Sus scrofa: one gene and its partners. The protein of the gene in region 2 purifies or fractionates together with the protein of the main gene of each other region. This does not show direct contact. Links are inferred from orthologs where the notes say so. Each region holds a gene or a part of one and is shown on either strand. Other genes may lie near its edges.

Region 1 (8,107 bases), on a different chromosome or scaffold from region 2:
ACTCATCACTACTGTTATCAGCCATAGTCTTGTTAGGAAGATGGGCAGAATGAGGAAGTCCTTGGAAGAAGATTTTCCCTTTAGGTTATTGTCAAAATGATTTTTAAAGACAAATATTTTTAGTTTATAATATTTTATGCTCTAACCATTTTATGGAACTGGGTTTATAAGAACATCTAGCTGAAAGACCGGAAACTGAATTCTAGTCGGCTCTGTAAATTTAATTCAATTCAATTCAAGATGTATTTACTTGGAGTTCCTGTCGTGGCTCAGTGGTTAGCGAACTGGACTAGTATCCATGAGGATACGGGTTCGATCCCTGGCCTCGCTCAGTGGGTTAAGGACCCAGTGTTGCCGTGAGCTGTGGTGTAGGTCACAGATACGGTTCGGATCCCGAGTTGGTGTGGCTGTGGTGCAATCCAGCAGTTACAACTCTTATCCAACCCCCAGCTTGGGAACCTCCATGTGCCATGGTTATGGCCCTAAAAAGATCAAAAAAAAAAAAAAAAAGATATGTTTACTTGAATTATTATGTTTTAGGCATTACTATGGTTAAGGCATTGGGTGAGACATTATATTGATTATCTGCCATTACATAAATAGTATAAAATCTGTGCTTAGTTTACACATTGGTGAAATGAGGTTAGTAATTAGTAAAGCAAAAGAGTGCTGGATATATAGGCAGAAAACTGGGTGTAAAGGACAATGCTATCACTTTAACAAAATAACTTAATTTCTTTGTGTCTCAGAATTCTCACTTCTAGATGGAGTTAGTAATATTTTTCAGGACTGTTGTAAGGATCAATTGAAAAAATTTTACATGGAAGAAAATGATCTAGTTCCTGGCAACTAATGGTCATAAATATGAATCTGAATCAATGTCTATAAGATAAAAGCAATAAAATATTCAGAACAATTATAAAGCAAAATCAGGGAGTTCCCATCACGGCTCAGCAGAAACGAATCTGACTAGCATCCATGAGGACGCAGGTTCGACCCCTGGCCTTGCTCAGTGGGTTAAGGATCTGGTGTTGCTGTGAGCTATGGTGTAGGTTGCAGACATGGCTCGGATCCTGTGTTGCTATTGCGGTGGTATAGGCCGGCAGCTACAACTTCCATTCAACTCCTAGCCTGGGAACCTCCATATGCTGTGGACGAGGCCCTAAAAAGACAAAAAAAAAAAAAAAAAAAAAAAGCATAATCAGGAGTTCCCATTGTGGCTCAGCGGTAACACACATGACTAGTACCCATGAGGATGGGGGTTCATTCCTGGCCTCACAGTGGGTTAAGGATCCAGCGTGGCTGTTGGCTGTGGTGCAGGTCAGCAGCTGCAGCTCTGATTCGACCCCTGGCCTGGGAACTTCTATATACTGCAGGTCCTAAAAAGCAAAAAAATAAAATAAAATAAAATAAATAAAAGCATAGTCAAAGGTAAGATATTATTAACTGGCATGAAAATATGTTCAATGATTTCTAAGTCAATCAAATGCCTATTTTTCTGCCTATTAACTTGCCTAAACTAAAAACAAATTATAATGACCATGGCTGGCAAGATTATAAGTATGCTTAAGTCAGAAACCTGGGTGTATAGGTTTTATATAAAAGATTGAAAGCAGGGACTCAGACAGTTGTACACCAATGTACATAGTTGCACATTCACAATCTCCAGAAGGTGGAAGCCACCCAAGTTCTCATCAACAGACAAATGGATAAACAAAATTTGGGAGTTGCCGTTGTGGCACAGTGGTTAACGAATCCGACTAGGAACCATGAGGTTGCGGGTTCGGTCCCTGCCCTTGCTCAGTGGGTTAACGATCCGGCGCTGCCGTGAGCTGTGGTGTAGGTTGCAGACGCGGCTCGGATCCCGCGTTGCTGTGGCTCTGGCGTAGGCTGGTGGCTACAGCTCCGATTCAACCCCTAGCCTGGGAACCTCCATATGCCGCGGGAGCGGCCCAAGAAATAGCAACAACAACAACAACAACAACAAAAGACAAAAGACAAAAAAAAAAAAAAAAAAAAAAAAAAAAAAAAAAAATTTGGTTATATATACAATGGAATATTATTCAACCATAAAAAGGTTAGCAGGGGCTGGGAGGGGAAGGGGAATGGAGGGTTACTGTTCAACAGGTACAATTTCTATTCGGGATGATGAAAAAGTTTTGGAAATAGTTACACAACAACAGGAACCACTTAGTGCTACTGAACTGTATACCTCAAAATCGTCAAAATACCAAATTTTTATGTAGGCAAATTAACCACAATAAGCAAACAAACAAGCCTGGACGTCATCCTTGATTCCTAAGTCAGGAGTTAAATTCAATCCTTCAGCAACTCTCAGTGATCTGACCACAACAATACCTCTGGCATTAACCAATTCTATTATCAACTGTCACCACATCCAAGCCACTGTCACCTCAACTCCACCATGGCAACAGTCCTACTGACCCCCTACTTTCTCCGTAGCACCTTTCAATCCATGTCACACATAAGAGGAATATGGCCTCTTGAGCCCTGCTTGTCATGCCTCCCGCCCACCTCTGAGGCTACTTCCCCCTACCATATGCTGGTCTCTTTCAAGTCCTCAAACTAATGAAGTTCTTTCTGGCCTCAGTGCCTTTTCAATTTTCACTTGCTGCTCCCTCTTCCTGGCTTACTTTTCCTCAATGTCGAGACCCTTCTCATCTTTCAGCTTCAACTATCACCTCCTTGGGTCTTCCTTGATCCTTCTATCAAAAGTGGAGCCCATTCCTCACCAATATTCTCCATAACATCAAACTCTTTGCTTCCATCATGCACTTAATGCATCTGTAATTTTGTCTCTTTATTTATTTGGCGTCTGTCTCCCGTAATCACAAGCATCAGGATGACAGGGTTAATGTCTCTTTTAATACAGCATACCTAGTGCGAAGCATAAGGCTGACAGCAGGCATTCAAAAAATGTTTGTTGAATAAATGATGGTGTGAAGTCCTCTAAAAATATTCCGTTGAGATTTTAATTGGCATTGCAGGTTAAGCGCAGGTTACTGAAGCATCTTCAAAACTGAGCAAAAGACTTTTTTTTTTTTTTTTTTTGTCTTTTTGCTATTTCTTTAGGCCGCTCCCGCAGCATATGGAGGTTCCCAGGCTAGGGGTCGAATCGGAGCTGTGGCCACCGGCCTACACCAGAGCCATAGCAACGCTGGATCCAAGCTGCGTCTGCAACCTACACCACAGCTCACGGCAATGCCGGATCGTTAACCCACTGAGCAAGGGCAGGGACCGAACCCGCAACCTCATGGTTCCTAGTCGGATTCGTTAACCACTGCGCCACGACGGGAACTCCAAGACTTTTGATAAATTAAATAAACAAACATGAACCCCTGGCAGATTATGGGTAAAGAGTATCACGAAATAAATGATGATGGGAAACTGGTCAGATTGAAGGAAGATCCTGCAATGTGGGTGGCGGTGTTTTCTCCCTCCTTAAGTAGTTAGAAAACAGAAGCGACAACAAATAACTTGACTCTGAAAGTCAACATTTGCTATTATAAACTAAAAAATTATTGGAAACAATCATGAGTCCATCCTGCTCTTTGCTCTGAGAACCGTCTGTCTTCTTTTCTCTTCATTTATTTCTTACCTTTGTGTCTTGAGGGAGGAGTATAAATACTTGCAACCTCTTCCGAGTCGTTAATCTCTAGACGCTCATCATATGTCTGGTTTTCTATAATCTTGGTCTAAGTAAAAGGAAACATGATTACACAGCTCCTATCACGGGACAGTAAGCACTCTGTGGGGAGCTGGACTCCAAACCAGCAATGGTTCCGAGACACCAGTTTTACATGAAACCCTCACCCCAGTTCAAGCAGTTAAGTCATTCTGCTGCAGCCCTTATTTAGGAACTGCTGGCAGGCTGACCGGAGAACGAAGAAATCCTGGAGCGAAACAACAGCCAACTTCTGCATCACCTTCCCCAAAGCTCTTTTGTAGAGAACGGCTCAAGTGAGCCTCAGGTTCGGTCAGTTTCCCAAGGCTGCTGGGATTTCTTAGCTGTAGAGGTTCTAGAAACAATTCTGTTTCTAGAGTCACCAGGGCGGGGGCTGTTCCTCTAAGAGAGGTTAAACTCTAGTCTCTTGGTCCAAAAGCATCACCCTCATCTATACCATGACCACCCCACCCCCCTTGGTCTCGTCTTGTAGTTCGGATGCCCCTTACGTTTCGTGGGGAGTAAGGCAAGCAGAATGGTCGGTGATGGCGTGAAGGGAAGGGAGAAAGTATAGTGGGTAAGAAAACGGAAAGAAGTGGAGAGGGGTTGCGAGGACAGAAAAGGAGTCCTTTCTATTCCTCTTGGGAGAGAGGAAGCGTTCTCTGTTAGGGTGAGTACGAATTACCTGTAGCCCCTCCGAATCCGTCTCTTCTATCTGGAAGGAACCCCAGCCTAGGGCTGGGGTCTCACCCTAATCTCAGGCCAGGCCACTTTTACTTGGAAAGAAGGGGAGCAACTGGCGTGTTGTCAGTAGCTAAGCAAACAAACAATAAATAAATAAATAAAAAGAGCGAAGAAAGAAACAGAAAAATCGCGAGACTTCCTTTAACTCTCGTGAGAGCTCAACTCGCGCATTATGTTTCTCCCCAGCTAAGGAGCCAAGCAGAAAAAGAGGAGCTCACATCGTGATTGTTTAGATTTCAACAGATGTGTCTGTGGTGGCATCTAGCGGCTGCAGGCAGCAAATCAGATGAATTCCGGTTGGTAGAGAGTTAAGCTCTAGATCCCGAAACACGGTCTGCATTTTTTACCCAGGGAAAGGATCAGTAGGTATGAGTTCCTATTAAGTCAGACCACTCAGCCTTTAGGCAAACTCAGGGGTTGCCTCAATTCCTGACATTCTGTACTACTTTTATAGCATTTTTATTACATTATAGTCTTTCCCCTCCACTGTGTCCATAGCATGGGACATATTTATAGTATTAACAAATTATTATTTACCTGTGATTCAAATTTAACACATTCTCCCGCTTTTTTAATTTTTTAATTTTAATTTTTTTTAGGGCTGCACCTGCGACCTATGGAAAATCCCAAGCTGGGGGTCAAATCAGAGCTGTAGCTGCCGGCCATTCTTTCTCTGTATGGATTTATCTGTTCTGGATATTTTACATAAATGGAGTCATAGAAGATACGGTCTTTTGTGAGTGGCATCTTTCACTTAACATAGTATTTTCAAGGTTCATCCATGTTGTATCATGTATCAGAATTTAATTCCTTTTTGTGACTAATATTCCATTGTTTAGATATACTACCTTTTTTTTTTTTTTTTTTTTTTGTCTTTTTAGAGCTTCCTCCACGGCATATGGAGGTTCCCAGGCTAGGGGTCTAATCGGAGCTGTAGCTGCCGGCCTATGCCAGAGCCACAGCAATGCCAGATCCCAGCCGCGTCTACAACCCACACCATAGCTCATGGCAACCCCGGATCCTTAACCCACTGAGTGAGGCCAGGGATTGAACCCGAAACCTCATTGTTCCTAGTCGGATTCGTTTCCGCTTTGCCGGTGGGAACTCTAAATATACCACATTTTGTTATTCATTCGAGTACTGAGGGACACTTGGATCGTTTCCACTTTTTGGCTATTATGAACAATGTTTCTATGAACATTAGTGTTCAAGGTTGTGTATGGGTGTGTGGTTTTAACTCTCTTGGGCGCATACATAGGAGTGAATTGCTGGGTCACATGGTAACCCCATGCTTAGCTTTTTGAGGAGCTGCCAAGCTTTCCCCAAACAATTAAACTACTTCAGGTTCCCGCCAGCAGTGTATGAGAGTTCTAATTTCTCCACATTCTCACCAACTCTTATTATTATAGCCATCCTAGCAAGCTTTGATTTGCAATTCCCTAAGGACTAAAGATATTGAGCATATTTTTATGTGCTTATTGGCCATCTATCGTTTTGTTTTTGTCTTTTTATGGTTGCACCCGTGGCATATGTAAGTTCCCAGGCTAGGGGTCAAATCAGAGCTGCAGTTGCTGCCACAGCCACCAGCAATGCCAGATCCAAGCTGTGTCTGTCACCTACACTGCAGCTCAGGCAATGTTGGATTCTTAACCCACTGCATCAGGCCAGGGATGGAACCAAATCCTCATGGATCCTAGTCCCGTTCCGTTTCCACTGAGCCACAAGGGGAACTCCTTCCATTGTTGAGTTTTAAGGATTCTTTATATATTCTGGCTACTAGTCCCTTATGAACACCAGTTATTTTGTATGTTAAATGCTACCAGTGGCTCTGAGAGCTTTATAAACTGCAAGAGATTTCGCAATTTAAACGAAGGCGCTGAGGACGGTGAAGGAACTGAAGCCAGCGGTTCCACGCAGGAGGTGGAGGCTCCAGGACTCCATGGCACAGCCTGCGTAGCAGCCCTGCGCCCGGTCTCCCCACTCACGGCGCCCCGCCTCCCGGCCTTTGACCCGCGCCGTTTCCGGTTGGAGACGTGGCTCGAGGCCGCCATCTTGGCAGGAGGCGAAGCGGCCGGCGCTCCTGTCAGGGGGGCAGCAGGTTCTGAGCGGCGGGTGCTCCCCTTCCTCCCACCCCAGCCGGAGTCGCAGTGGAGCTGGAGCGCGGGAGCGCCTCACCACCGCCCTCACCATGGTAAGACCTGAGCCGGACCCAGCTCCCTGGACGGCCTCGCTCGCCCGCTTTCCCTGCTGCCGGCCTGGTGCTGGGGCCAGAGGAGCCCCGCCCCGAGCGCCCGGAGCCGGTCGCTTCGCTGGGGCTCTGGGAGCGTTGTGGCCTTCCCTACCCTGTGTCCGACCTGTGGAGAGATCCGAGGGACCTGACTCCTCCAGTCGTCTGTCGTTGCGCCCACACCCCTCCCCCGCAATCGGCTGGGCACCCTGCTCTGCCAGGACTCAGGCCCTAAAACGGGCCTGGAGTTTTGCTCTGCAGGAACCTCTTAGTGATGTCCCGTGGACCCCACTCTGCGGACCAGGAAGCTAGTGTCCAGCAGGTTCCGTGGGTGCTTAGGCTCAGCAAGCCGGGCCTCTCAGGAGTTCTCTTCTGTAATCGGCTCACCTCCCCCCGGTGTTCCTTAGGCCATTGATGTTCTAAACCTAAATCTAAATCCGTTAGCGTTCCGGACTTTTTCTTTAGTTTGTTCAAAAGGGAGAAATAGAGGACAGTTCCGAAAAGAGGCCTAGAACAGGTAGGATTAACTTCTGGCACTAATTTGTAGGACCCAAGTGTTCCTGAAAGCTGCTACCTATTTCTGTAGATCTTGGGTAAGTCCATTTATCAGTGCGATTGAGTATATAGGTGTGTATGGAGCATTGTAGAAATGTGAGCAGATTAAGGAGAACACAGGCTTTCTGTCTTCAAGGAGCTTATAGTTCAGGTGAAATGAAATGTGTGTGTCAGATGTCTCACGGGAGTGAGAAAGGGTTCACACTCTGGGACTTGCTACTTGCCTTCAGTTGTGTTCCCATCTGTTGTTGAGACAGTTAAAATTAATGTGGATGGGATGGGACAAAACACAATGCTCAATCCACCAAATCTTGCTTTATTACTACCGCGGATGGGTATTTATGAAGCAGGAGAAATTTTTTGGTTCCAAACAAGCTATAAATTTATTTTTAAGTGCACTTTATGGCCTTCAGTCTTTTGAAGGATATTCCTTTTTTTAATTCTTTTTTTGTCAGTAGGTTCATAATTTGATTTAAAGCATTTTCCTACATGCTTCAGATATGATGATGTAATTTGGTGCCAGTCATATTAAGTTCTGTTGACAGCCTTTTTCGTGCTTGGGCTTTAAACCACTGAAAGATTTTCTTCAGCTTCAGGCATATAAATTGCATCAAGCAGGTTTGCCTCATAAAACTTTTATGTCGGACATAAAATTTCCAAAAAGTCCTTTCTTCATTTCCACTGGGAGGCTTAATATTTGGGTAGTGATTTTTAAGTTACTTTCCTTTTACATCCTGGGTGTACTTATAATGCATTTCAGAGTATATTATAATTTTAAAGTCAAAATTAAAGCCTTGTGTTACATAAACCAAACATAGGTGATCTTTACAAAAACCTTGTAAATCAAAGAGTTCCTGCTGGGTTGAGAATCCAACTGCAGGGAGTTCCCTTCGTGG
Region 2 (7,324 bases):
AACTCCATGTACCTCTGAGCGAAAATTAAAAAAAAAATACATGCACCCTATGTTCACTGCAGCCCTACTCCCAACAGCCAAGATATGGAAACAACCTAAATGTCCATCGACAGACGAATGGATTGAAACGACATGGCACAAACATGTGCACAATGAATACTACTCAGACACAGAAAAAGAAGGAAATGACGCCATTTGTAGCAACATGAAAGCAACTGAAGATTATCATACTAAGTGAAGTTAGGAAGAGAAAAACAAATACCATATGATATCACTTATATGTGGAACCTAAAATATGGCACAAATGAACCTATTTACAAAAGAGAAACAAGCTCAGACATAGAAAAGAGACCCATGGTTGCTAAGGAGGCAGGGGCAGGGAGTGGGAGGTTGGGGTTGGTCATTGCAAACTAGTACATTCAGAACGGAGAAGCATCACGGGTCCTGGGGTAGAGCACAGCGAACTCCATCCAGCCTCTCGGGATAGAACATGACAGAAAGTAACACAAGACAGGGACTACGCAAATATGTACGACTGGGTCACTTTCCTGTCCTGAAATTGGCACAACATTGTAAATCGTCTGCCATATAAATAAATAAATAAATAAAAATAGAGCCCCCTATCATGGGCTGGAAGAAAGAAAAAAACCTAATAAACTACATTTTGAAAATGTGGAAAAAAATGTAAGAAAGTGTGTATGGATGCGCATGTGTTTGTACACAAACACGTCTTACATATGCTCCACATCCACAGACGTACTGCAAAATTTACTCCCACATCTATCTGTCGAAAACCATGTATTTAACCAACACCTCCTGTTTCAGGGTTCTCTCTAATTTTTCCCTTTTCGCGGTTGTAATTCCTTTTTCCAACAGTGAAAACCACGGCTTCTGTGAACTTTAATGTACTTACAGTAAATCAACACTTTTTTTGGCTTTAGGGCCGCACTCGTGGCATATGGAGGTTCCCAGATGTCGAATTGGAGCTGTAGCTGGTGGCCTATACCACAGCAACGCCAGATCCTTAACCCACTGAGTGAGGCCAGGGATCAAACCTGCATCCTCATGGATACTAGATAGATTTGTTTCCACCGAGCCATGAGGGAAACTCCAAATCAACTATACTTTAATAAAAAAAAGTTTTTCTTATTTATGTGACCAATTTGCCTCTATACACCCAATCTCCCATCTCAGCTGCCCTGCCTTTCTCACCCTGCTGCGGCTCTGACTCCCTGGACTGGGCTGCCCAGGGAGTAAGTATGACCATAGTATGACAAGAGTATTATCAACCTCAGGATTTTGTACAACTCTCAGCAAATTATTTTATACCTACTCCTCATTTACACAAGGACCCCTGTTGTGTCTGCTGAATAAAATGAATCTCTACTAGTGACTCAATACCTACTAAGTGCCAGAGATGCTATATGACACACAGTCAGACTGAATGTTTAGGAGGACCCTGGTGGACATGGCCACTGCCCCCATTTTACAGATGAGAAAGGTGAGGCACAGAGAGGTTAAGTAACTTGCCTCAGATGACACAGAGGGATTCAAACACAAGCAGTCTGAGTCCCTGCCCCCACAACTACGTGATTTGCAAATGAATGCTTTAGATGAGATGAGCGGGTGATAACTGATCATGGGTGAGGAGTAGAGGCTGCTGATCACTCTATTTATTATAGCGCTGTCTGGAATTGAGAAAATATGGAAATCATTTCAGTGCCCAGCAGTGAGAATCTGGTTAAATAAGATGAGAGAGGAGTTCCTGTCATGGCGCAGTGGTTAACAAATCCGACTAGGAACCATGAGGTTGCCGGTTCGGTCCCTGCCCTTGCTCAGTGGGTTAACGATCCGGCATTGCTGTCAGCTGTGGTGTAGGTTGCAGACACGGCTCGGATCCCGCGTTGCTGTGGCTCTGGCGTAGGCCGGTGGCTACATCTCCAATTGGACCCCTAGCCTGGGAACCTCCATATGCCGTGGGAGCAGCCCAAAGAAAGCAAAAAAAAAAGGAAAAAAAAAAAAAAAAAGATGAGAGAGTCAGGGCTCCCACTGTGGCTCAGTGGGTTAAGAAGCCGATGTAATCTCTGTGAGGATACTTGATCCTTGGCCTTGCTCAGTGGGCTGAGGATCTGGTGTTGCCAAAAGCTGCTGCGTAGGTTGGCAGCTGCAGCTCCAATTCATCCCCTAGCCTGAGAACTTCCATATTCCACAGGTGTGGCCTAAAAAAAAAATGAAGAGTCCATAAAATAGGATCTTTATTAAAATTACTGAAGAATTTAAAAGAATTATTAAATGAATAAAACTGATAAGTCTAAGTAACATGAGAAAATGTTATTTATATTGAATGGAAAAATACATTGAATGGAAAAATAACAGCAAGTAACCTAGTTCTAGGTTAAATTCTAAATTTGTAAAATTGTAAATTTGTAAATTTGTAAATTCTAAATTTGTAAATTTGTAAATTTAGAATTTAGGAGTTTCCGTCGTGGCAGAGCAGAAACAATCCGACTAGGAACCATGAGGTTTTGGGTTCGATCCCTGGCCTCACTCAGTGGGCTAAGGATCCCGCATTGCCGTGAGTTGTGGTGTAGGTCGAAGACGTGGCTCAGATCTGGTGTTGCTGTGGCTGTGGCCGGCAGCAATCGCTCCAATTAGACCCCTAGCCTGGGAACCTCCATATGCCGCGGGTACGGTCCTAAAAAGACAAAAAAAAAAAAAAATTTAAAAAATTAAAAATAAATAAATAAATAAATTTAGAATTAAAAATTTTTCTCCTTCCCACTAACATATCTCTTATTTGTTACTAGGAGTAGGCTGTTCTGCCTTGTAGAGCCAGGAATAAATATTTTCAAGTCCTAAGCGCAAAACCATTAAATAAATGCAAAATAATCTTACCAAAATATCTTTTATTGCAATTCTCATCACTTTCTCAATCTCATTTATTTCCAGAGGTCTGGCAATTGCTTCTGTTCTCAGTTCCTATGGGAAACAATGAAAAGATTGTATATTTTTTCAGAAGAGGAATTCTCAAAACCAATTCCCAGATCTAGATATGGCTTAAGGACTGGTTCTCGAAAGTTCCACTACAGGAGTTCCCGTCATGGCACAGCAGAAATGACTCTGACTAGTAACCATGAGGTTGCAGGTTCGATCCCTGGCCTCACTCAGTGGGTGAAGGATCTGGCATTGCCATGAACTGTGGTGTACACTGTAGACATGGCTCAGAGCCGGCATTGCTGTGGCTGAGGTGGAGGCCGGTGGCTACAGCTCCAATTTGACCCCTGGCCTGGGAACCTCCATATGCCTTGGATGCAGCCCTAAAAAGCAAAAAAAAAAAAAAAATTCCATTACAATGTGGATCTCTGACACAAACACACTTCCTCCAAGTGTCTCCTGCAATCCTTCTGCCAACCTGGCGTCTCCAGAGCAGGAGGCCCTCCTTTCCAGCCAGAGGCCTCCTGTCCCCTGACACCATGGGAAACTGAACTTACCATCCAAAATCTAAAATCTTGTCTCCCAAATGTGCCTCTTTACCTGCATTCCATTCAGGGAACCCCCAAACCAAGTGCAGCACAAAACTGTAACCAATGAGAAGCAGCACCTGGGCCCTGCCGGTAGCACTAAAAGGAACCACCAAGGGGGCACAGGGCCTACCCATCAGCACTGGGAACTTCTGAGACAGAAGTCTTCTGCCCTAAAGAGACGGGAAAAAAAAAAAAAAGAAAACCCTCCCAAAGCCCAAGTCACATTTTGGACTCGTAGTTTGTGAAGATCCCCTGATGAGTCCACTGGGCAGCCAGATTTGGGTCCTGCAGGTGCAGAAAAGCATTTTGTTGGGAAGAAAGCTGAGGCTGAGTTCGTAGGGGCAAGCAGCATGGGCACAAGGAGGCGGCAAGCACGGATGTGCCATTCCTGAACTAGATGGCAGAGTGTAAGAAACGGAGAGCGGCCCGCCAGAAGCAGGACCAGCAGCGAACAGTGTGCGGATTACTTTTCCACACGGGATCTCATTTAGCCACGTACAGTTTAATAAAATCAGAAGCTCAGGGAAAGAGAATTGGAAGAGAAACCTTGGAAACCTGCTTCGAGAAGGAGGTGACCCAAGTTCCTGGACACCACTCACCCTCAGCTCCACCTCCTTGCCCAGCAAGTCGTACAGAGACGCTCCTTTGGAAGTGATTTCAGAAGCAAGCTGCCTGGCAGCTTTCAAATCTGCAATCTGAAAGGAAAATGGCAGAAACAGAAACTTCAGAGACAGGTTTTAGGCCCCGAGAGAACCAGTGTGCTCACATCGCCACCACTTCCGACCGGATGCCCGACTCACTTGACTACTGAGCGTTTTCCACCAGATGCACGGCCTGCAGCAGAGAACCCCCTGGGGCTGGGGGGGGGGCTCTGAAAACCCCAAGTCGGGTCAAGGGTCCTCTGCAACCAGGAGGTGGGGGCTGGCGTGCTTCCTGCTTGGACTGGGTCACAGCAGGGGAACGCTGGCAGTGGTGCGGTGACCAGGGAGGGGCACAGTGTGACCGCAGACTCCAGATGCCTGTTTGCCGCCCCCATTCTCTGCCCGAGACGGCGCGTCACGGGGCTGCCAGGGGCCCCTGCGAAGGGCGCACCGCAGGACCGGCTCCACGGCCAAGGCGACAGTGGTGGCGATTGAGCACCCACCCACAGGCTTCTCTCTCAGGGTCTGCACATCACACTCTCTCCCTCGAACACGCAGCTTTTCCAAAGAGCCCTGACAAACACGCCACATCCCCGTGCCCTCTCCGCTCTCCCCCGACGCCGAGTTCCCAGCCCCTTCATCTCCAAACCACCAGCGAGAGCTCCCTCTTCACTCCCGGCTGATGATCCCACGCCCACAGCTCCGGCGGCCGCCACCTCCTCGCCAGGAACGGGCCGCCTCCTGTGCCCCAAGAGCAGGAGTCTTACCGCCCTCCCTGCAGCGGAGCAGAGCTCAGCCCCCCGCCTCTCACGCTCCCCTGGGCTCCTGCTTGGACAGACGCCGCCAAGTGAACGCGTCCCAAACCCAGCGCTTCCTCTTTCCTGCCCAGCCTGCTCCTTCCCGGCTCCTCGATCTCAACAGCCACTTCCCCGGGCCGGTTCCGCAGTCACCTCGCCCATTCTCGGGGTAAAACCACTTAAATTCAACCTGAAAGGCAGTTCCTCGAGGGCGCTAGTGCCATGGGATGAGCAGCCACCTCACCGTGTGCCACAGGCGCCGAACTCACCCCCACAGAAGGCGCCACGAGACCCGGCTGCTTAGGCCCTTCCCCGTGTGGTCTGCTTGCTTTCAACCCACGCGCAGTCCCGCAAGATGGACCTGCAAGACACTGCCCTGCCCTCTGGCCACTTCCTTCCACTGAGCAGCCTGGCTCCTGGGTGGGCTTCTGCGGCCTGACGAGCCAATCCCAGAGGCCTCCCCCGGCAGCCTCAGGGGGACCCCCCAAGCCCAGTGCCCTGCGGGCTCTGAAGCCTCAGAGCTGCAGGCAAGGACCCAGGAGCGCCACCGGTCATGCTCTGGTGGAGCCCCGCTTTCCCAGGTCCCCTCGGCGCTTCTGCTGAGGCCTCCTCATGGAAGGCGAAGAGGAAACTCGGGGACACTCTTCCCACTGCTTCACTGCCCACTACATTGCACCCCGCAGCCCGCTTAGGGCACAGGTCTAGAAACTCCGGCTTCGTCCCTTGCTTACGTCGGGCGCTTTTGGCCTGGGGCTTCATTTTTCTTTTTCCTCTTATGGCAGCACTGGCGGCACATGGAGGTTCCTCGGTCAGGGGTCAAGCCACAGCTGCAGCTGCAGCCTACACCACAGCAACACCGGAACCGAGCCACATCTGCGACCTACATGGCACTCTGCAGCACTGCTGGATCCTTAACCCACTGAGCAAGGCCAGGGATCCAACCTGCATCCTCATGGAGACAATGCGGGTCCTTAAGCCACTGAGCCATAACAGTATCTCCTTAGCTTGCTGCTTTAATGGAGTCCTGGCAGCTCTCTCCTCCTCCAAGCTCAGCTGAGGGCATGACACCCACTCTGCTCAGAGGCACCGTCACCTGCTGTCTTGCAAGTCCCTCTGCTTCCGCTTTCGCTGCCCCTTCAGTCTGATCTCAAACCAGCAGCCAGAGTGACCCTCCCAACATGAAAGTTCAAGTCACGTACCTCTTTGCTCAAAACTCAATGATTTCCCCTGTCAAACTGTTGACAGTGGCTTTCCAGGGACAACAGGGTCTGTCACTGTCCCCCCAGCTCTCCTCACACACACACCCGCCTCTCCACCTGGCATTTCCATAAACACGCACGGCACCCCTTCCACAGAGGGGCTTGCTCCTTCCCTCCCTCAGATCTCTGCTCACAAAAGCGCCCAAGCCCTGAGGCCGCCCTCGCTCCGTCTTCAGACGCCTCCCCAGCCCCTGTCTGCCCCCAGCCCCGCACACTCAGCCCACCTGACCCGACACTCGCCGTGCTTTGGGGTTTACAGTCTGGCTCCCCCGACCGAGCCTCGGCAACAGAGGATCCCTGTCCTGGTTGTTCAGGCCTGTGTCCCCAGCGGTGGAACAGGGCCTGGCAGACTTGGCTTTCAACAGACAATCGTATTTAATGTCCTTTCTGTTTTTATCCAAAAGCGATGAGCACAAAACGGACAAAGAGCCCTCAGTCAAGGAGTAAGGAAAGGAGGGGTGCCGGCTGGGACGTTCCATTTCGGAGTCTGAGAAATAAACCCCCATCCCCCTCGCCAAGCCTCGCGAGGTCCTCACCTTGGAGCCCAGGTCAAACTTGAATTTGCTGACATCGCCCTGGCCCAGGCTGGAGCCCTCCAGGCCCTTGGTCGTCATGGCGCTGTACAGCACGGAGGCGATCTTCAGGAGCTCTTTCACCGCGTACCCGTCTGCTTGATAGAGCTTCTTAGTGTTGAGTTTTATATGTGCCTTGGTGGCCTGTTTTCAGGTCGGGGACAAAATTTAAGACCCTTTTCAGGTAAAATCGAAACCAAATTCCATGCAGGTCATTAGAAAATATCTCTGCCAACAACTGCAACATAACCAAATCATGTGGAATCAAACTTTCAAGTTGGTCATACGCTGCAAGTATGTAAACCGATACAACCTTCACAGAGGACAATCTGGTAAATGACAGCAAAATTTAAAATGCACACAGCTTTTGACCCAGCAGGTTTTTTTCGTTTTTTTTTTTCTTTTTTTGCTTTTTAGGGCCATACCCACAGCATACGGAGGTTCCCAGGCTAGGGGTCCAATCGGAGCTACAGCAGTTGGCCTATGCCACAGCCATAGATAGCAATGCAGGATCCGAGCCACATCTGCCAC
Region 3 (8,018 bases), on a different chromosome or scaffold from region 2:
AGACATTGACCCTCAGGAGGGTCTGGAATTGGTTTGGGGGTGTCTTGCCCTAAACACAGGGCTGAGCTCCTGGCCAGTGTCCTAGAGACCTGTGGCATGAGGTAGCATCACGCTGGGAACCATGTGGCTGGGCAGTGCCCCCTCCTCAGAGGTCTGGATCTCAGCTCAGGGCGGGGGTGGGGGAGTGGGGTGGAGTGGGGGGTGGAGGTTCTTCTTCAAGCTTCCGAAAACCCTGACCTCCACCTACCACTTCTGTGTCATTTCTCTGTTGTCGTCTGGCATTTTCAGTTCTCTGACACCTGCTGAACCAATTCCATGCATTATAATCTCTCTGTTGAAACGCCTGATGTATTTTCCTTTTTCTTGACTGGGTCTCGACTGAAAACACTTCCCAACTGGCCCTCTCTCCTTTTAGTTTGTCTCCCTGCTCTCACCCACCCTGAACTTGACATCTACGGATGGACCTTCATAAAACAGTGCCTCCCTGTCATGCTCACACAGAGCTGGTCAAGGATTCGCTCTCCTTCCCATCTTGCAACTCGGTCTCCGGTGATCCCTTATGCAAAATCCAGGCTCTCTACTCCTATTTTCTTGATCCCTGAAAATTCCTCGAAGATATAACCTCTTCCAGGTCTCCCCTAACCCAAACCCTAGTCCTGCCCGTGCTCTGCCAGGCAAAGCTCAAAGAATGTCCTTCCTGCACAGCCTCTGAAGGCCCTCTCTCGCTCCTTCATCTTTAACTGTGCGGTTCCTGTGGCTCAGTGCGGGCAGCATGAGATGGCATCAGAGAAGCCCTCCAGGGAGACCCGATCATCATCCCCACATATGGCAACAGGCAATTCATCACGACTCCGCAGGGCACAGACTCCGGTTCCATGGCTTATCAGCTGTGTGACCCTGGGTCAGCCATTTCTCTGGGCCTCAGCTGCCACATCCACAAAATGGGGATAATAGCACTGATTGCATAGACTTGTTCTGGGTTTTTTTTTTTCATGGCCACAACCTCGGCATATGGACGCTCAGGGGCCAGGGGTTGAATCTGAGCTGCAGTGGCCGGCCTGCACCACATCTGGGTGGATCTTTTAACCCACTGTGCCAGGCCGGGGATCGAACCCATGCCTCCGCAGTGACCCAAGCTGCTGCCGGTGGAGTCTTGACTCACTGCGCCACAGTGGGAACTCCTGTTATGAGGATTTAATGAGTTAACGTGGGCAGCGCCTGATACATATGAAGCGATATTTAAGTGATTCTGAGGCACATAAAATATAGATAAATGTTAAGTGTTGTTTCTTTCTTCGCCTGAACCAGAGCAATTAGCAGTGGGGCCTTGAGGTATCTGTCTGGGATCTGGCACACAAAGGGCATCTGATCTGTGTTTTCTGTGTAACTAGGGACTACGCGCAACTCAGCGCTTCCGGTTCGTCCTCGTACTCCCAGTGCACCTTGCGTCACGACGCATGCATTGTAGGTACTCAAAACATACGTGGACTGAAAAACCATTTGAATTGCCAGGTCCCTCAGTGACTAGTTATTTGAGGGAAAAAAAGGCAGAGTGACTCTATTTACACGGTAGGCTAGTGAGGGGCGCGTTGGTGGAAGGGGGTGAACGAATATTTGATGGGTGGTGGAGGTGGGGCTGTGCAGAGTGAATCCCTACGCTGAGGTCTTTCGGTCCCTGGAAACTTCCAAGAGGAGGTAAGAGGCCTCGAAAGGAAGCGGCTGGCGAAGTGGAAATGAACTCCGACTAGGAACCATGAGGTTGAGGGTTCGATCCCTAGCCTCGCTCAGCGGGTTAAGGATCCTGTGTTGCCGTGAGCTCTGGTGTAGGTCGGCAGCTACAGGTCTGATTAGACCCCTAGCCTAGGAACCTCCATATGCTGCGGGTGCGGCCCTAAAAGGACAAAAGACAAAAAAAAAAAAGGAAGTGGCAGACTGAGGGCTGGGGTGGAGCTCAGCAATGACATCTCAAGGCAGTGGGTGAAATCAGGTAAAACAAGTTCCCGACGGTGTGGATGTGAAGAAGGGCAAGGGGTCTAGAATCAAGGCCGGACGACAGAATCGTATGGGGCTACGAACAAAGCTCTGGAAATCAGATCACCTGGGTCTCGCTCCGAGCTCAGCCACATCCAGCTGTGTGACCCAGGGCAAGGGCCCTACCTCTCTGGGCCTCAACTGCCCCGTCTGTAGGTGAGGATGACAATCATCCTGACCCCATAGGGTTGTGGAGATGAGCTGTGGTGGTGATGAGGGCTCAGCACAGCGCTGGTGCATAGAGGGTGCTCAGTAAGTTAACCGCGAGATGGAAGTTGAATTAAAAAAGAAGAGAAAGAATAGAAAGAGAAGCCCACTGTAAATCCACTATAATAAACATAAAATAACATATGTTCCCGTTGTGGCTCAGCGGAAGTGAATCTGACTACTAGCATCCATGAGGACACAAGTTCCAACTCCAGCCTCGCGCAGCCTCACTAAGGATCCGGCATTGCCATGAGCTACTGTGTAGGTTGGAGACACAGCTCGGATCTGGTGCTGCTGTGGCTGTGGCATAGGCCAGTGGCTATAACTCCGATTTGACCCCTAGCCTGGGAACCTCCATATGCCACAGTGTGACCCTAAAAAGATCAAAAAAAAAAAAAAAATTAAGAGAAGCTCATTTTTTGTTCTTTTTAGGGCCGCACCCTCGGCATATGGAAGTTCCCAGGGCAGGGTCGAATCAGAGCTGTAGCTGCTGGCCTATGTCACAGCCACAATGCCAGATCCTTAACCCACTGAGCAAGGCCAGGAATCAAACCCACAGCCTCATGGATACTAGTCGGGTCCGCTTCTGCTGAGCCACAATGGGATCTCAGAGAAGCCCATTTAAAAAAAAAAAAATCTAACTTCAGAAAAAACATTCGCACCTTATCAATGAGGAAACTGAGGCTCAGAGAAGTACTTTTGTTCAAGAGGACACAGCCAATCAGAGGAACAGCAGAATTATTCCTATTACACAATACTGCCCCTCCTGGCGCTTTGGCAACTAGAGACTGCTTTTGAGAACCATTCATTTTCATTTGCTCCAGAATGATCTGAGTGATTGTTGTCAGTTATCCTCCGGTGTGACCCTTTTATTTCCAAATTGGAAAAGTCACTTAAAAAAATATCATCCCTTTCAGTCTGGAATAAAGACTGAAAAAGGAATCTTTTTCTTCGATATACGTTCTTACTGCTTCATTCCTGAGCTGGTCAGGAAAAGCTGGAAAGGTCACAGGTTTCCAAAGTCACACAAGTGAAGGATTTTGAAGGTTGGCAAATCTGGGGGTTGACATCCCACCTATGACCTTCCTTTGCTAGGGGTGACCTTGGGCCACAGTAAGGTCAGACGAGCACAGCACTTAACCCAGTGTGCTGCCTCCTGGGAGAGGATGAAATGAAATACACCTGCCTGACATGCAGTAAGGACTCAGGAAAGTACATACATGCTCCTTGGTCGCAGGTCCATAATCATGGCAAATGTTTTCGAAATGAGCAGAAATACTACAAATGCGCATGTCACATTTTCATTCATTCTACCAATATTTAGTGAGTACCTACTATGTTCCAGATATTGTTCTGTGTGCTTGGGATGTATCAGTCAGGAAAACAGAGATTCTGACGTTTGGGAGAGTCCTTTATGTCCTCCTGCTTGTGGGGCAGCACAGTAACTCTGGGTCTTAAAGACAACACACATAACTTTTGCAGACTCTGCTCAACTGTACATGACTACCTCCTATCCCCGTTTTGAGAGGAATGGGTTCAGGAAAAAAAAAATCTCATAAGACCATCACGTCACTGATGCCTAACTTCGGGGTACAGGACATGGTTTAGTTGAAGCACTTGGGGTGAGCTTAGCCTTATTTTTTTTAGCGAGTCTACTCCTTCTGAGCACAGCTCAAATTAGTGACAGTGGTCTCAGAGTATGACAGGGAGTGCGGAAAAGCAACTGGAGCTACAAATGTGCTGTGGAAGATAATTCGTCTACGCCTAATGGAATTTACTCTATCAGTAATTGCATTAACTCGCCTTTGGAAGAGAGAAAGGGAAAGAGAGTAGCCAATTTACATGAACAAAAACTCTTGATAACTCTCTGGCCTCCGTCGACTGTATTCATCCGCAAGTTTTCAGACTCACCTGCCAGGATGCATTTCGCTGCCAGCTTCACCATGGTAACCAATCACCTCCGCGGACCAGACAGCGGAAGAGAGGCTGCTGGAGGCGTTGGGGGGCCCTGCCTGGGAAGGGGAGTGGGGAAGGCTGGCGCTGAAGGGTCCTGTGGCGGCGGTGGGGACAACGACCCTCTGGGCAGCCCGCGGGCAGTTCTCGGGCACTAGGGTCGCGGCAGGGCGCGGAGGATCGCCAGATGGGGCCAAGTTCAAGGTCTCAGAGAGTAACCTGGAAGATGCCAGCGAGGCGATTCGGATCCCGTCCCAGGCACAGCTCCAGTTAGTGGGAAGCAGGAATAGTGATCCAGCAACCTTCCCGCCCCCAGAACCGCAACAGATGGGCTTCTCGGGCAACCATGCCCCGCCTGCCCCGCCTTCTCTATTTCCTCCTCCTCCTCCTTGCTGGTTGTGGATTGGCTGCCACCAAAAGCTCCCACACCCGAAAGCTCCCGAAGACCAGTGGGAAGGAGGGGCGGGGATAACAGCCCTTTCTCGCCAGGTAATTCGTAGCAGTATCTGCTCTTCAAACTTTTCTCGCTTGGCTAATAGTTGTAGAGCATGTCAATCATCTCCACCTCCCGCCCCCTCACCTCTGGAAAGTTCAGGGAAAAACAGCTCCAACAACTTATATCCAGAAGCGGTGATAAAAGCAGCTTTCTGATTGGCCAGAGGCTGGCTTGGACCATCTCGGGAGGAACGCGTACCCTCCTCCCCTTCTGGAAGTGGGTTCGCCCACGGAGGGGGCCAGTTGGGAGCGCGGGAGACTGGAGCGGCGCCTGCGCAGTGGACAAGGTGCAGTTGCCCAAGCGGAACTTTGAACCCGCTCTGTTGGGCCGAGGTTCTTGTCGCCCCCTCAAGTCCCAGATTCCGGGGAGAGCGACGTAAGCTGCATCAAGAAATCTAGTCCTTGGCTCGCATCTCACAGGGAAATCTGATTTTTAAAGCCCGAGAATGTCATGCTTTAAAATGTAAAATAGGAAAGTGTTGAAAGTGATGTCTGTGGACAAAGAGAGAACAAGTGAGTTTAATGTGGGGGAGCAGCGGGACTCAGACACTTGAAGCCCTACTTTCCTGAGTCCAGCCCCTCTTGTAAAATGGAGAATATATCACATACCGCACATCATCGAATGAAAGCCAGCCCCAGGACACTCCCCATCCCACAGGGAGGCTCCGAGGATGTCTGTTGACTTTCTGGGGGAGGCTCCTCTTGCTGAAAGAGGAACCTCAGACTGAAATCACTGCCGCCGCCGTCTTCCTGACCTGGTGACCATCGTGGCACATCGCCTCGCCCCTGAGCCTGTTTCCTCGTTAAAAATGGGCTAGTGGAACCCACCTCCTGGGGTTGTCCTGACGCTCAAAAGAAGGTCTGTAAGTGCCTGGAACATAGTAGGGGCTCAACAGTGAGGAATGGATGAATGAGAAGAGATTCATCTGGACAAATTTCATTGATCATCACTGCCGTATGCCAGGTGCAGGCACCCCTGTTCTGCCTCTGCTGGGGCCCCCTGGGATGGCTGGTGCTGAGCAGGAAGATGCCCTCAGTGAAGGTGCCTGCCCCCGGGGGTTTGTCATCACAGGCCTTTCAGTTACCTGGAACTTGCCTCACCTGCTCAGTGTCTCCCTGTGGCTACCAGCCTTGCGCTGGGCCATGAACACACATACACTCCACACATTTCTGTGGATGCTTCAGCCTTGAATTGGGAGTGAAACAGAGCAAGCTGCCTGGAAGTTTCTTTCCTTGGGACTCATTCCTGGTATTGTGATTAAGATGTGTCTCCTGCCTTCCCCTCACCTACTTGTCTTCTTTGGAAACATCATGCAAGTCTGTCTCAGACACCCCAGGCCTCGGTGAGTCAGAAAGCCTCTGCCTGGTCTTTCTGCCCCCGCCCCGCTTCCAGGCTGCCCTGCTAATTAATCCCTCAGAGGCCCTCTTGAGTAAGTCACTCTTTGAGGCAGCTCCATGGAGCTGAGATGCTGAAACACATTTGGGGGAGATATATCTGGGAGCCTCAGTTTCCCCATCTGTGAGGGGCAGGAGGGACTAACAGCCCCTCCCTCATAGGGCTGTCTTCCTCTGCCCACATCTGCGGAGTCCACATCTGCAGAGCCCACATCCCTTTCCTTGGTGCTGCTGTGTGTGGTTTCGGTCAGCACCATTGTAAGAGCATTGTGGGGTGGTGTTTTGTGGTTTGTTTTTTTTTTTTTTGCTATTTCTTTGGGCCGCTCCCACAGCATATGGAGGTTCCCAGGCTAGGGGTCGAATCAGAGCTGTAGCTGCCAGCCTACGCCAGAGCCACAGCAACGCGGGATCCGAGCCGAGTCTGTAACCTACACCACAGTTCATGGCAACGCCGGATCGTTAACCCACTGAGCAAGCGCAGGGACCGAACCCACAACCTCATGGTTCCTAGTTGGATTCGTTAACCACTGCGCCACGACGGGAACTCCTGTTTTTTTTTTTTTTTTTTTTTAGGGCCGCACCCACAGCATATGGAAGTTCCCAGGCTAGGGGTAGCATTGGAGCTGCAGCTGCCAGCCTGTGCCACAGCCACAGCAACGCAGGATCCACGCTGCATCTGCGACCTACACCACAGCTCAGGGCAATGCCGGATCCTTAACACACTGAGCAAGGCCAGGGATCAAGCCTGCGTCCTCATGGATGCTAGTCGGGTTCGTTACGGCTGAGCCACTGACAGGAGCTCCCTGTAAGAGCATTCTGGATCTCCCCAGAGAGATGGTGAATTCTGTACCCCTTACTCCACTACCCTGAGGGCCTGCTATACAGTCTTGATGTCAAAATGACAGCCGCATGACTGTCACTGAGTTTTGGGTGATCAGAGAGTTTGGGAGCCCTGAAGGCCCTGGTGAAATTCTAGTCTAACCCTTCCCTGAGTGGCTCTAACAGAGCTGGTGTTTGCTAAACCCATACTGAATGCTGGCCTCATTCTAAGTGCTTGAAAGGAGTCATTAATTTAATATTCATGTTCCTATCTGATATTCATAATAAGCCCTGTGAAGCCTGTATCCGCCCTTTTTGATAAACGGGGAGACTGAGGCTCCAGTGAGGTGAAATCCAATCCTCAAGGTTATAAGACTAGAGAAGGGCAGAGCTGGGGATGAAGCACAGACTATTAAGCCTCTGGCCCCTACAGGGACCTCTCCTGCCTCTAATCCTCTGACACTTCCTTGAATCCTAGAGAGTAAATATTTATTGAGTTCCTTGCAGCAATAGCTCCTGCTAATTGGGCATCAGCTATGCCAGGCACGTGCTGAACGCATCACATCCTCTTTCTTGAAGGATTCAACAACTCTGGGAAGTGGAAACTCTCTTTCCTTCAATTTCCCTGGGAAGGACGCTCAGACCTGCACAGAGCCTGAGCTCATGCAACAAGCCAGCTAGAATCAGAGCCAGCCTCCGGTCTCCCGCGCTTGGGACCGATGCATTTTTTTTTTTTTTCCATTGCCTGCTGCAGTCTTTCTGTTTTCATTAATAAGCTTTTCCTTGAGGATCTCCCCTAGGCCAGGCCCTGGGCTGGTTGCTGGAGCCACGAAGTGAAGGTGCCAGAAAGCCAGGCAGCTCTGGCAGATGGTGGCCCTGTGGGAATACCAGCCCAGTGCTGCAGGACCCTGTGTTTTCTAGAGGATTCAGGAATCTGTGGTTTGTGTTTTTTTTTTTTGGTTTGTCTTTCTTTCCTTCCTTCCTTCCTTCTTTCCTTCTTTCCTTCTTTCCTTTTCCTTCTTTCTTTCTTTCTTCTTTCTTTCTTTCTTTCTTTCTTTTTCTTTCTTCCCTTCTCTCTCTCTCTCTCTCTTTCTTTCTTTCTTTCTTTCTTTCCTTTT

Evidence for each region. The genes of interacting proteins can lie anywhere in the genome.
Region 1: the proteins of CLUAP1 (region 2) and IFT46 purify together in Homo sapiens (affinity purification with mass spectrometry; 3 studies listed by BioGRID and IntAct, with this or other methods). This does not show direct contact. The link is inferred for Sus scrofa from reciprocal best matches to the Homo sapiens genes CLUAP1 and IFT46.
Region 3: the proteins of CLUAP1 (region 2) and IFT27 purify together in Homo sapiens (affinity purification with mass spectrometry; 3 studies listed by BioGRID and IntAct, with this or other methods). This does not show direct contact. The link is inferred for Sus scrofa from reciprocal best matches to the Homo sapiens genes CLUAP1 and IFT27.

Annotation. Positions count from the first base shown.
Region 1 is NC_010451.4:45,857,324-45,865,430, forward strand, and holds the start of IFT46 (intraflagellar transport protein 46 homolog), read right to left. Parts: upstream 4,596-8,107; 5' UTR 4,371-4,595; intron 3,717-4,370; 5' UTR 3,620-3,716; intron 61-3,619; 5' UTR 26-60; coding exon 1-25. Other genes in the region: ARCN1 (coatomer subunit delta), read left to right, coding at 6,618-6,620. UniProt on the Homo sapiens protein: Forms part of a complex involved in intraflagellar transport (IFT), the bi-directional movement of particles required for the assembly, maintenance and functioning of primary cilia. May play a role in chondrocyte maturation and skeletogenesis.
Region 2 is NC_010445.4:38,738,448-38,745,771, forward strand, and holds part of CLUAP1 (clusterin-associated protein 1), read right to left. Parts: intron 6,938-7,324; coding exon 6,758-6,937; intron 4,220-6,757; coding exon 4,124-4,219; intron 2,980-4,123; coding exon 2,896-2,979; intron 1-2,895. UniProt on the Homo sapiens protein: Required for cilia biogenesis. Appears to function within the multiple intraflagellar transport complex B (IFT-B). Key regulator of hedgehog signaling.
Region 3 is NC_010447.5:10,990,759-10,998,776, reverse strand, and holds the start of IFT27 (intraflagellar transport protein 27 homolog), read right to left. Parts: upstream 4,596-8,018; 5' UTR 4,184-4,595; coding exon 4,150-4,183; intron 1-4,149. UniProt on the Homo sapiens protein: Small GTPase-like component of the intraflagellar transport (IFT) complex B that promotes the exit of the BBSome complex from cilia via its interaction with ARL6. Not involved in entry of the BBSome complex into cilium. Prevents aggregation of GTP-free ARL6.